3 linked regions of the Arabidopsis thaliana genome follow. The protein of the gene in region 1 purifies or fractionates together with the protein of each later gene. This does not show direct contact. Each region holds a gene or a part of one and is shown in the gene's direction. Other genes may lie near its edges.

What was found.
Region 2: the proteins of mtLPD2 (region 1) and CYTC-1 purify together in Arabidopsis thaliana (affinity purification with mass spectrometry, with the first as the bait; one large-scale study listed by BioGRID). This does not show direct contact.
Region 3: the proteins of mtLPD2 (region 1) and ATMDAR2 purify together in Arabidopsis thaliana (affinity purification with mass spectrometry, with the first as the bait; one large-scale study listed by BioGRID). This does not show direct contact.

Annotation. Positions count from the first base shown.
Region 1 is NC_003074.8:5,889,160-5,894,257, reverse strand, and holds mtLPD2 (lipoamide dehydrogenase 2), read left to right. Parts: upstream 1-1,925; 5' UTR 1,926-2,091; coding exon 2,092-2,364; coding exon of another isoform or gene 2,365-2,475; exon of another isoform or gene 2,476-2,729; coding exon 2,730-3,980; 3' UTR 3,981-3,990; intron 3,991-4,087; 3' UTR 4,088-4,595; downstream 4,596-5,098. Other genes in the region: AT3G17250 (Protein phosphatase 2C family protein), read left to right, coding at 1-119, 403-1,383; AT3G17230 (plant invertase/pectin methylesterase inhibitor superfamily protein), read left to right, coding at 5,022-5,098. UniProt on the Arabidopsis thaliana protein: Lipoamide dehydrogenase is a component of the glycine decarboxylase (GDC) or glycine cleavage system as well as of the alpha-ketoacid dehydrogenase complexes.
Region 2 is NC_003070.9:8,077,365-8,081,120, forward strand, and holds CYTC-1 (CYTOCHROME C-1), read left to right. Parts: upstream 1-1,922; 5' UTR 1,923-2,019; coding exon 2,020-2,131; intron 2,132-2,147; exon of another isoform or gene 2,148-2,610; coding exon 2,611-2,744; coding exon of another isoform or gene 2,745-2,748; intron 2,749-2,823; coding exon 2,824-2,922; 3' UTR 2,923-3,210; downstream 3,211-3,756. Other genes in the region: AT1G22830 (Tetratricopeptide repeat (TPR)-like superfamily protein), read left to right, coding at 1-1,668; AT1G22850 (SNARE associated Golgi protein family), read right to left, coding at 3,307-3,354, 3,551-3,661. UniProt on the Arabidopsis thaliana protein: Electron carrier protein. The oxidized form of the cytochrome c heme group can accept an electron from the heme group of the cytochrome c1 subunit of cytochrome reductase.
Region 3 is NC_003076.8:921,502-926,269, reverse strand, and holds ATMDAR2 (Pyridine nucleotide-disulfide oxidoreductase family protein), read left to right. Parts: upstream 1-1,541; 5' UTR 1,542-1,653; coding exon 1,654-1,707; intron 1,708-1,923; coding exon 1,924-1,995; intron 1,996-2,080; coding exon 2,081-2,132; intron 2,133-2,220; coding exon 2,221-2,301; intron 2,302-2,381; coding exon 2,382-2,500; intron 2,501-2,601; coding exon 2,602-2,821; intron 2,822-2,911; coding exon 2,912-3,030; intron 3,031-3,121; coding exon 3,122-3,247; intron 3,248-3,337; coding exon 3,338-3,478; intron 3,479-3,568; coding exon 3,569-3,892; 3' UTR 3,893-4,222; downstream 4,223-4,768. Other genes in the region: AT5G03620 (Subtilisin-like serine endopeptidase family protein), read right to left, coding at 4,396-4,768. UniProt on the Arabidopsis thaliana protein: Catalyzes the conversion of monodehydroascorbate to ascorbate, oxidizing NADH in the process.

The DNA of each region.
Region 1 (5,098 bases):
TCAAGTCTCATCTCTCCGTTGCGAAAGATCCTAGTAACTTTCAGATTGCCGAAATTCGAATTCATGATTCAATTTGTATTGATATTCCGAGCTCTGAAGAAACGCCTCTTTTAGAATCGGTATGTGTTTGGGTTTTTGTTTCTTTTCTCTTTTTTGTGTAATCTCAATTTTGTTACTTTTGAATTTTTTAGGACTCCGTACCATTCTAGATTCTCCGTTGAATTCGAAGTTAGAAATTGAATTGGATTGGATAGATAAAGTCTTATTCTTTGATAATTCCGCTTGCTCTTCTACTCATGGATTTGTTCTGTTTTGTGAATTCTGTGATGGTTTTGTGATGTTATGAAGGAGAAAAACAACTAACACTAAACAAGCTCTTATGTTACCTTTGTTTTCAAACAGATCAAGAGTTGTTCTGCAACTACTATTGAAGAGCATGTTACTGAGTTTGTACCAAATATAAGCTCAGGGAGTTATGCAGATAAGGGTGACTACCGGGAGTACATGGAAGATGAACACATATGCATAGACGACCTTTCAGATCATCTTGGGTCTTCCTTTTACAGATTTCCGGTGCCTATGGCTTTCTACGGTGTGTTTGATGGCCATGGTGGATCTGACGCATCACAGTATATAAAAGAGAATGCTATGAGCTTGTTCTTTGAAGATGCTGTTTTTCGACAATCGCCCTCTGTTGTGGACTCTCTTTTCTTGAAAGAACTGGAGACATCTCACCGGGAAGCTTATAGGCTTGCTGATCTTGCAATGGAGGACGAAAGAATAGTTAGTAGTTCGTGCGGAACAACCGCATTGACTGCTCTTGTAATCGGAAGACATTTAATGGTCGCTAATGTTGGTGATTGTCGTGCGGTGCTCTGCAGAAAAGGAAAAGCTGTTGATATGTCATTTGATCACAAATCTACATTTGAGCCAGAACGGAGACGAGTAGAGGATTTAGGAGGGTACTTTGAAGGCGAGTATCTCTATGGTGACCTTGCTGTTACAAGAGCTCTTGGAGACTGGTCAATAAAGAGGTTTTCACCCCTTGGTGAATCTTTGTCACCTCTGATCTCAGACCCGGACATTCAACAGATGATTCTAACTGAGGAAGACGAGTTCTTGATTATGGGATGTGACGGTGTTTGGGACGTGATGACAAGCCAGTATGCTGTTACTTTCGTCAGGCAAGGACTTAGGAGACACGGTGATCCTAGAAGGTGCGCTATGGAACTTGGAAGGGAAGCGTTAAGGCTAGACTCATCAGATAACGTTACAGTGGTGGTCATCTGCTTCTCATCATCCCCAGCTCCTCAGAGAAGAAGGATACGGTTCTGTGTTTCCGATGAAGCTCGAGCCCGGTTACAGACAATGCTAGAAGGCTAACTGATGAAGGTTTTTTAGCGGTCTTGAGGAGGGCACAATGTATATATTATAGCAACAAAGATGGGGTTTTGAGATAACAACCCTCCCAAGGCCAAATTATTTGATGACATTATTACATCTCTCTGATATTGGATGAAATAAAAGGAAGGCAAAAAGAGAAGATGAAGGACTTCTTCTTTATGTTGTTAAAATGTTCATAAGTGTTATAGCCATTTTTTATCTATTTATTCTGTAGGATTATTGAGCACTTATGTACAAAAACTGATTAAGATTAAGGAATTCAGGTGATTAAGTTAATCAACTAATTCTCTACCCATTTCTTTGAAAATTGTGATCAGAGTTTTGTGTCTAATATCTCTTTCATTACATCTTCACTTTGTATATGTTTTAAAAATCACTAACATATTTGTCCCATTTTGATATATGTTTGTGTAGTGGTTGATCATATGATGATGATGTATATGATCACTCAGCTTGGATTATTAGGGTTATATTATATCATCATAATAATATGCTTATTGCTTCTGGATCCTCTTAGTTATGATTAACGAAAATTAAAAAAAAATCAGGGAAAAAGCGAAGAGGTCCTTTTTGTTTTCGTCTTTATTCGACTTTTCAAAGAGCCAAAGTCTCTCTTCTCCATCTCTCTCTCTCTCTCAGAAACTTCGACGGAAGAAGAACAAAACAACAACAACAACAACAATAACGATGGCGATGGCGAGCTTAGCTAGGAGAAAAGCGTACTTTCTCACCAGAAACATCTCTAATTCTCCCACTGATGCTTTCAGATTCTCTTTCTCCCTCACTCGCGGCTTCGCTTCGTCAGGATCCGACGACAACGACGTCGTCATCATCGGCGGCGGTCCTGGAGGTTATGTGGCGGCGATTAAAGCGGCACAGCTCGGTCTTAAGACTACCTGTATCGAAAAGCGAGGCGCTCTCGGTGGTACTTGTCTTAACGTCGGCTGTATTCCTTCAAAGGTGATTTTAGAAACTCCTTTTCCGATTACCTTGATTCGTCGGAAATTTTCTCCGATTTTCATTCGTCTCCTGTGGAACTTGCTCGTTGATCATCATTTAGATTCGATCTGAGGTTAGATTAATTTCGAGGTTTAAGAAATGATTGTGTGATGATGATACTTATTTATTTTTCAGATCTGTTTGTGCTTGATTCCTCGGAAATGGAACTATTTGTCTTTGAATTTTTGTATATCTGAAAATATTTTGTTCTCGTTGCATATGCTGGATCACGATCCTCGCATTTTTTGTTTTGTGATTGTGTTAGTCTCTGTTTGAGATTTGATTAATATATATGACATAATCTAGTTTAGTTTCTGCTGTATTAGGCCCTTCTTCACTCTTCTCACATGTACCATGAAGCAAAGCACGTTTTTGCTAACCATGGTGTTAAGGTCTCTTCGGTTGAGGTAGATCTTCCTGCTATGTTGGCGCAGAAAGACACAGCCGTCAAGAATTTAACCCGTGGAGTCGAAGGTCTGTTCAAGAAGAACAAGGTAAACTATGTTAAGGGCTATGGTAAGTTTCTGTCCCCATCGGAAGTCTCTGTGGACACAATCGATGGAGAAAACGTGGTTGTGAAAGGCAAACATATCATAGTTGCAACTGGCTCGGATGTCAAGTCTTTGCCTGGAATCACCATCGATGAAAAGAAGATTGTCTCATCAACCGGGGCACTGTCTCTGACAGAGATCCCAAAGAAACTCATTGTCATTGGTGCTGGCTATATTGGGCTAGAGATGGGTTCTGTATGGGGACGGCTAGGATCAGAGGTCACAGTTGTTGAGTTTGCAGCGGATATCGTACCAGCAATGGATGGTGAAATCCGCAAGCAGTTTCAACGCTCACTAGAGAAGCAGAAGATGAAATTTATGCTCAAAACTAAAGTCGTTGGGGTAGATTCATCTGGAGATGGTGTTAAACTCATAGTGGAACCTGCTGAAGGTGGAGAACAGACCACTCTAGAAGCTGATGTGGTCCTCGTCTCAGCTGGTAGAACTCCGTTCACATCTGGACTTGATCTAGAGAAAATCGGAGTTGAGACAGACAAAGGCGGGAGAATTCTGGTGAACGAGAGATTCTCGACAAATGTTTCAGGCGTTTATGCAATTGGAGATGTGATTCCAGGACCAATGCTGGCTCACAAAGCCGAAGAAGATGGTGTTGCATGTGTTGAGTTTATAGCAGGCAAACACGGGCATGTGGATTACGACAAAGTCCCTGGGGTTGTCTACACGTACCCTGAAGTTGCGTCGGTTGGTAAAACCGAGGAGCAGCTGAAGAAAGAAGGTGTAAGCTACAATGTTGGAAAATTCCCATTCATGGCCAATAGCAGAGCCAAGGCCATAGACACAGCAGAGGGAATGGTCAAGATTTTGGCTGATAAAGAGACAGACAAGATCTTGGGAGTTCACATTATGTCACCAAACGCAGGAGAATTGATCCATGAGGCGGTTCTAGCTATCAACTATGATGCATCAAGTGAAGACATTGCTCGAGTCTGTCACGCTCATCCCACCATGAGTGAGGCTATCAAGGAAGCTGCCATGGCTACCTATGACAAGCCCATTCACATGTAGAAGCCCTCAGGTACATCATGGTTTGGTGTTGATTCTGTTTCGGTGGATGACTTTCTTGGTTCTTCGGGTTTTGATTTTTCTTTTGTGTGTGTTGATGCGTATACTAGGAGATGTGGATTGAGAGGGAGAAGGAAGTAAAGCCGCCTACGACAAGCCAAATCAAGATGACTTTGGTTTAAACTTTTGATTTTTAATTTCTGGTGGATATGAGATGAGCTGAAAGAAAATACTTTAACGGTTTTACCACTCTTTTTTATTCGTTAAATCTTCTCCAGATTTTCAGTTGCGGGTTAGGCCCAACTATAGTAATAATTTGATATGCTCAATGAACCAAATGTGATTAATCAGGTATGATCGGTGGTTTTGGTGAAAGAGGATAACCAAATTCGATATGATTTTTTCACTGTATGATTGTGTTCAGTTTTATGATTTCAGTTTGCTTCCAAATTTTGGGACATGATTCGTTTCTTTTCATATGTATGCTCAAGATACTTACCATTGTCAAAATTCAAAAACGATAGTTGAGTAGTACGATAAAAAATACTCAAAAGAAGATAAACAAAACACACAGTTCGGACACTCATCCATAGAATTTTCTTATGTTTTAGATTTGGGAATTTTGTATGATATGATTTATACTAATAACCCAAGATTTTGAAATCTTTTCAAATAAAAGAATTTCCTCAAAGTAAGATTTTCTTTTGTTATAAAAATGGCAATGAATAATAATTCGAAGATTTTTTTCTTAACTTATGAATTGAATAATAATGGTGGATTGCGAATAATATAGAATTAAAGAAGAATATTATAGAATTTAGACATTTAAGATTTCCACATCCAATAAAGATGGAGTTTTAAGGAAAGCTTTTTGTCTCCCTAAATACGTTCGTTCTCACATTAATTGAGTCAACAAATAATAATTTGGGTCACATTTCATAATATCTTTCTATTGTCATCCAAAAACTATGTACTTATTAGTATGCAATAAGAACCTCCCAGACTCTCAAGTATACGCATAATTATCTTTCCGCAGCCAAGACAATGGCTTATCCTTGCGTCAAAAGAAACGTATTTTCACTTCTTCCTCTTCTCGTTCTTCTATCAATCACCCCTTTGTC
Region 2 (3,756 bases), on another chromosome or scaffold:
CCCTTGCCGTGGAATGTGCTCATCGGTTCGTATATTAGGAACAAAAGGTTTCAGGAGTCTGTTTCTGTTTACAAGCGAATGATGAGTAAAGGAATTAGAGCGGATGAATTTACTTACCCGTCTGTTATCAAGGCTTGTGCAGCATTACTGGATTTTGCATATGGGAGAGTTGTTCATGGCTCTATTGAGGTTAGCTCTCACAGGTGTAACTTGTATGTCTGCAACGCGTTGATATCTATGTATAAAAGATTTGGTAAAGTGGATGTTGCTCGGAGATTGTTTGACAGGATGTCTGAAAGGGATGCTGTCTCATGGAATGCAATAATCAACTGTTATACTTCAGAAGAAAAGTTAGGGGAAGCTTTTAAGCTTCTTGATAGAATGTATCTCTCTGGTGTCGAAGCGAGTATTGTAACTTGGAACACAATAGCTGGAGGTTGTTTGGAGGCAGGAAATTACATAGGGGCTTTGAATTGTGTTGTTGGGATGAGAAATTGCAATGTAAGAATAGGTTCTGTAGCTATGATTAATGGTTTAAAGGCATGCTCACACATTGGAGCGTTAAAGTGGGGGAAAGTATTTCATTGCCTTGTGATCCGTAGTTGTAGTTTTTCCCATGATATTGACAATGTTCGGAATTCGTTGATCACAATGTACTCAAGATGCAGTGATCTTAGGCACGCGTTTATAGTGTTTCAGCAGGTTGAAGCAAATAGTTTGAGTACATGGAATTCTATCATTTCCGGTTTTGCATACAACGAGAGATCAGAAGAAACCTCTTTCCTGCTCAAGGAGATGTTGCTCTCTGGATTTCACCCAAATCACATTACGCTTGCTAGCATTCTCCCTCTTTTTGCTCGGGTGGGAAACCTGCAACATGGGAAAGAGTTTCACTGCTACATCCTGAGACGCCAAAGCTACAAGGACTGTTTAATCCTGTGGAACTCCCTTGTCGATATGTATGCAAAATCCGGTGAAATCATAGCTGCAAAGCGAGTATTTGATTCGATGAGGAAGAGGGACAAAGTGACATACACTTCTTTGATCGATGGATATGGCAGGCTGGGTAAAGGAGAAGTCGCATTGGCATGGTTCAAGGATATGGACAGATCCGGTATCAAACCTGATCATGTAACTATGGTTGCAGTTTTATCAGCTTGCAGCCATTCCAATTTAGTGCGTGAAGGACACTGGTTGTTTACGAAGATGGAGCATGTGTTTGGTATACGCCTTCGCCTTGAACACTATTCTTGTATGGTTGATCTTTATTGCAGAGCAGGTTACCTGGATAAAGCCAGAGATATATTCCATACAATACCTTACGAGCCATCAAGTGCTATGTGTGCTACTCTACTGAAAGCGTGCCTCATCCACGGGAACACAAACATTGGGGAGTGGGCTGCAGATAAGTTACTACTAGAAACAAAGCCAGAACACTTAGGTCACTATATGTTGCTTGCAGATATGTATGCAGTAACTGGTTCTTGGAGCAAGCTTGTAACGGTGAAGACTTTACTGAGTGACTTGGGCGTGCAAAAGGCTCATGAGTTTGCTTTGATGGAAACAGATTCGGAGTTAGATGGAGAGAATAATAAGCCGATGAACGATGATTCTGTCATCAATCAGGAGCAAAGTTCAGATGAAGAACGTCTTGTAGAAGTAGGATAAAGAATCAAATTCTGATAGAAATATTTTATCAAACTGGAGAATCAATTTGTACATAAATCTTATATACAACAAGTTTTAATTGCATGATTTCCTGTAAACATAAGTTTACATGAACTAGGGGATGGTCCTTCGCAAGTATGAGTAACAAGCATAAACAGCATTATATATGAAATAAATATGAGCCCACCTAAACCCATTAAGGGCCCATTAAGATTGGAGATACTGCTTTTTTAAGAGAGGTCACTTTTTCCACAGTGAAACCCTAAGGAAACTTCGGCAAGCTCCAGAGAAACGAGAGTTCCGTAATCATTTTCTCTTGTTGTTCCTGATCGCGTAGCTCAAGCGAAAAAAATGGCGTCGTTTGATGAAGCACCACCAGGAAACGCCAAGGCCGGTGAGAAGATCTTCAGGACCAAGTGTGCTCAGTGTCACACCGTCGAAGCAGGCGCCGGTCACAAACAAGGTTTTCACTCATCGATCTCTCTCACTCTTGAATTCTATTTCTATGGTTGATTTTCGCAATTTATCTGAATTTTTATCGGGCCTTTGTTTTACATCGCTTTATAATCGATTTGTTCATGTTAATCAAAAATCTCTGATGTGATCTGGTTAACGGATTCTTCGATTAGATCATAGATCTGATCCAATAACCTCGATGTCTTACTCGTGTTTATCCTTAAATCTTCAGCTCAATGCATGTGACGAATTTCTGAGGTTTTTATATACAACTTTTCGCATTTTTGTGGAACTTGATTCTCGAATTCTAAGTAATGATACAACAATGATTTGAGCTAGTTGCGTCACAGATTCTCATTTTTTCTTGAAATTGCGTGAAATTAGAAAACACTGTTGCTCAATGGTTTCTATTGTTTTCGTAGCTTTTGTAGAATGTGATTTGCGTCACATTGTTGCTCAACACTTGACCTTGTTGTTTTAATATAGGACCCAATCTAAACGGTCTATTTGGAAGACAATCTGGTACAACTGCTGGTTACTCTTACTCTGCTGCTAACAAGAACAAAGCTGTGGAATGGGAAGAGAAGGCCTTGTACGATTACTTGCTCAACCCCAAGAAGGTTTGTATAATCATGTCATGATTGTTTCATGAGTTGTTGTTGTTAACATTGAGATTGATGGCCTTTTTATATGATGCAGTACATACCAGGTACCAAGATGGTGTTCCCTGGGCTAAAGAAGCCGCAAGACCGTGCTGATCTCATCGCCTACTTGAAGGAATCTACTGCGCCTAAGTGAATCTGATGGTGGATTGATTCTGAGTTGTTAAGTCTCTCTCAGATGAGGCTTTTTTACTTTGCTATATTCTTTTGCCAAATAAAATCTCAAACTTTTTTTGTTTATCATCAATTACGTTCTTGGTGGGAATTTGGCTGTAATGTGTGCTGAGGCTCACTTTATCGAGTACATTTGATTTTCTGAGGCTCATTTTCCTTTTTTTTGTCTAGAAAGCATTTTCTCACTTATTATTGGTGCTTAAATTTGAAGGACAAAAAAGATTCGAATTATATATCAACTATTAACAATAATGGAGCAATACATTTAACGTTGATACATGATACTCTGTTGGCGTTTTACAAATCCTAGAGAGTCAAAACCATTATCCAATCGCTGGCTTGTTTCCTACTTTGCATCTCTCTTCTCATCATCATCAATATCCTTTATAGCATCCTGCAACACACGGCAAGTAAAAGATATACATGAGACAGATTCATTTCACTTTACATCTTTTAAGTTTCAACCAAATGTGGGACTTTTCTGAGCTTATATGCTACGAAGCTTTGAACCAGTTGGTTTGATATCAGAAGTGGGAGGCAAATATAACGCAGAACAGAGAAAGAAAAGAAGTAAACAAGTATGAGTTTACCTTTGCAAGGCTTGTCACATATGTTCCAGCCAATGCAGTAACCAACAGACCCACCCCGAGAGTTAAAAGCTGGCCGTTTCCTCCAGGCAAGCCAACATTAGATTCTTCTTGCTGAAGCGACATAGACAGAAGATTGTCATTTGATGATTTTATGATGCTTGCCAGAGTCACCATGTATTCACAATTCAACAGGATATCAGACACAG
Region 3 (4,768 bases), on another chromosome or scaffold:
CCCTTGTGCTTAGCACTAAGTCTGCATCTAGGGTACAAGTGAAAGTTATGTTCGCATTTTTGAAAATTTATTTCTAACAACAGGTCAGTTGACTTGGGAGTTTTGGAATAATTTGTAATATTGTATATGGATCCAACAAAGTGAGTACTTCATAAAAACTATTCGTGGGTATTCTTCGAAATCTGATAGATCGGACCGGCCCATTAACAGAAGCCCGTCAATATCTATAACCACAACAAAAGTAACCGATGAATTTAGTCAGTCATTTAGATCCTTTCTTCTACATGGTTGTCACTTGTCACTGTAAGAAGTATTCGTCATCCTAGCATCTTCCAAGAAGATTTAGTAACAAATGTCAAAATCATGCATGCAGTAAACTAAAAATAGTACTCTTTGTATTCGAGTGCTAATTACTAATCTTCCAAGAAGATTGGTAACAAATGTCAAAATCATAAGGAATAATTATAATACAAAGTACATTTTAACTTATTAACATATGTCAAAATCAATAGGGTACTTTTGATACGTCCGGTAAATTAGTGTTCTAGTACAGCCCTATCTCTGTTCTTTTCTCATTAAATTGGATTTGAAACTCTCATTATTGTAGGCATGGAAGAGTTTTAGGCCGCCAAGGTCCACATCATTAATAGTTTAGGTCTTTAATACAGTGACATTACATCATTAATATTTAGGTCCCAATTTCTGGAAATTCTATCTGGTTGGAATTTAGGTCATCATTCTTGACAATTTTTTCTCCTCTTTTGACTAAAATCCAAATCATCTTTCCTCTCAAAACTATTAATGTAATACTCTTATTCACATTAGGTCATATGTTAATGTTATTGTAATATACTAATTATACAAAACTAGGTAGTTTCTTTCTTTACTGTAGTAGATCTTAAAACATAAGATAACGACATAAATCATTTAGATTATTAGTAGTTTGATTAATTACTATAATTTATGGTCTTAAGGTTATTCATCTTTGTTTATGCAAACAAAATCATATGATTAGTGTAGTAAATACATATCCTTTTTGTACTATCGGGTTTAGGGATCAAGATAAGGTCCTTGTTTTAACTGTCTTTACATTATATCCAAATAAATTATGGAAATGATTCACTGACACAAATAATCGAATTAAACTTAAAGTCTTAAACTATACATAAAACTACAGATTGGTCTAATAAAGAAATTAAAACCAACCAACAACTCCATAAAGATATTCTACTATATTCATCAATTTGACTAGTGGTTGCTGACACTAGATTTATGATTCCTTTCATATATTTTCTCTTGGTAATTGGTATGTAAATAAAATTCTCCAAATATGAAAGACTGAAAGTGAAATGTAATCAGTAAACCGAGTAATACCGGAATTTTAAATCTGAATGTCCGTTTTACATCGACCAGATCTGTCACGTGTTAAATAAGACCGGGTCAAAAATATAAGACGCTGACTTGTAACGGTTCGATTTCGATTTGTGCACGAAGCGGGATATCTAACGGTTTAAATTAAGCCACGTTTAAAGATTCCTTCTATACTGGACAAAGTCCCCTATAAAAACCTCTGACCCAATCACATTTCTCGGATCCAAAAAGACGAAGAAAAGGAAAAAAGACAAATCAAAGAGAGACGATTCGATCGCATCAATGGCAGAAGAAAAGAGCTTCAAGTATGTGATCGTCGGAGGTGGTGTCGCCGCCGTAAGTCTCTCTCTGTTCTTCTTCTTCATCGGATTTGTTTTTTTTCCTCAATCTCTTCGCTTACGAATCATCACACTGTACTACTGCTCATTTGTATCCTTATCACTCTGAGAAGTAGAGTAGATTGTATCGCTAGATCTAGTGATTTCTATGATTACGGGAAGATAGGAACTAGATTCCCAATTTATTGTTGTTTTGGGATGTTGTGATTCACAGGGATACGCGGCGAGAGAGTTCTTCAACCAAGGTGTCAAGCCTGGTGAACTTGCTATCATTTCCAGGGAACAAGTAAGTTTTCATGACTTGGAACTAAATTTAAGCTAGATTCTTGTCTTGTTATTTATAGTATTGGCAATTTTTTGGTGTTAATTAGGTTCCTCCATATGAGCGTCCTGCACTTAGCAAGGGATATATCCACCTCGAAAGTAAAAACTTCATTCTACATCATTTGGAGATTTAGTTTAGTCTGTGCGTGGTTTCTGAATTAGATTTGTTTGTTCTTATGGTATATAGATAAAGCTACACTTCCGAATTTCTATGTTGCTGCTGGAATTGGGGGAGAGAGACAGTTCCCTCAATGGTACAAAGAGAAAGGTGAGTTTCCTTTTTTTTTGTGCTTTAAGCGTTTTTTTAGCTCAATGTCTCTCATTCATTCTCATATGTCGTTTCTGCAGGTATTGAGCTGATTTTGGGCACAGAGATTGTCAAAGCAGATCTTGCTGCGAAGACACTTGTCAGTGGGACTGGACAAGTCTTCAAGTACCAAACTTTGCTAGCTGCAACTGGTTCTTCTGTGAGCACAATCTATCCTTGCACTTCTTACTTTGGAAGTTTCCATTTTTAGTCTCTTTTTTCTTTTTGCATCTCTTCTAAGGAATTTCTTAAATTGTGTAGGTCATAAGGTTGTCAGATTTTGGCGTCCCAGGTGCAGATGCTAAGAATATATTCTACCTGAGAGAACTCGAAGATGCTGATTACCTTGCTTATGCAATGGAAACAAAGGAAAAAGGAAAGGCTGTGGTTGTTGGTGGCGGTTACATCGGTCTTGAACTCGGTGCTGCTCTGAAGGCTAACAACCTCGACGTTACCATGGTTTATCCAGAACCTTGGTGCAGTAAGTTGATACAAGCCAAACCACTACCATAGAATTCTCATCGTATTCCCTTTGCTTAACACCTTTCCTTTTTGTTGTGTCTTTGAAAAGTGCCTCGGCTTTTCACCGCTGGCATTGCTTCCTTCTACGAGGGTTACTATGCCAACAAAGGAATTAACATTGTCAAAGGCACTGTTGCATCTGGTTTCACTACCAACTCAAATGGAGAGGTTAGCAATTAGCATCACCGTTCAAACTTGACAAACAGCAGTTTTTCTCTCCGCTGCTTCAACAATATCTCTCTGTTGCTTAATGATGCAGGTCACTGAGGTGAAATTGAAAGACGGAAGAACGTTAGAAGCTGATATTGTGATAGTGGGTGTCGGTGGTAGACCAATTATATCACTCTTCAAAGATCAAGTTGAAGAAGAGAAGGGTGGTTTGAAGGTTTGTGACTTGCATACTCCATTTTCTTCTGTATCTGAGATATAGTTCTTATTATTATTGTTTACTCATGAGATCTTTCTTTGATTGCAGACTGATGGGTTCTTCAAAACAAGCCTTCCAGATGTATACGCCATTGGTGATGTAGCCACCTTCCCAATGAAACTCTACAATGAAATGAGACGCGTTGAACACGTTGACCATGCTCGCAAATCCGCTGAACAAGCCGTAAAGGTAATAATTATAATGCTTCTTCAACCTGTCTTAATGAAGGAGCTGTATAAAATCATCCTAATTGAATCGATTGATATAATGATTTTGTAGGCAATCAAGGCGGCTGAGGAAGGGAACTCAATTCCGGAATATGACTATCTTCCATACTTTTACTCTCGAGCCTTTGATCTCTCATGGCAATTCTACGGTGACAACGTTGGAGAAAGCGTATTGTTTGGGGACAATGACCCGGAATCGCCAAAGCCGAAATTCGGGAGCTACTGGATTAAAGAACGGAAAGTGGTTGGAGCATTTTTAGAAGGTGGAAGTCCTGAAGAGAACAATGCAATTGCTAAACTTGCACGAGCACAACCTTCTGTTGAGAGCCTTGAAGTGCTATCTAAGGAAGGCCTTTCCTTCGCCACAAATATATAAATTGCCTTTCTAGGTTGTGTGTTAGTGTGAGCTTTGAGTTCAGAGTGGCTTTTATGTCACTTTGCTATTATGATAGCAGAGTCGACATTTTTGTTATTTGTTTGACCCACTTTCTTGTGATTGTTTGGTTCCAAAATAAAATTGAAAGCTACTCAATTCACTTTTCTGATATTTCTTTCTTCGAAAATGGTACACCAAACTTGTTGGAAACATTTCAGTCACTTTTCTCGGATCCGGCGTTACAAAAACCTTGTCTTCATATGAGTTTTTTATGTCCAAATTTTGTAGACATTTTTACTAACTTGTTGGAGATTGGTCCTTCTCCAACAACACTATTCAAGTTTTAATTCGACTAAAGTTTGGGAGAATTATTGTATATGTTCCTATTTATTTCAACACTAAAAAGGAGAAAAAAAACAACACTAGAAATAGAAATCATAACCAAACACTAAAAAACAAAAAACAAACAAACAAGGGTCTAAAAAAAAGCAGTCTTGTCTTTTTTAACGGTAATCGTTATCCGATCGAAACAACAGAATTGGACTTCTCACAAGATGTCCTCTCGAATCATCCCATTCCACAGAAGCAGACACAATCCCTTTCATTGTCTCATCCCAAACTCCATCAATCACAACCTTAAAATTCCTCTTCTCTTTAGGCCTCTCGAAACTCATAACCTTAGGCACAACCTCAACTCTCAAACCCTTCGGTGCCCAAACCCTAGCCACGTAGGTCGATGGTCCGTATCCGACATTCGTCACTGTTCTATAGAAAACTTCCGACACTTTCGCTTCCGTAGAATTCACTTGCTTGTGCAGTGACGGATAATTTAACCCGTCGGAACCTAACCCTCGCTTGATATTCTCACAATTGTAT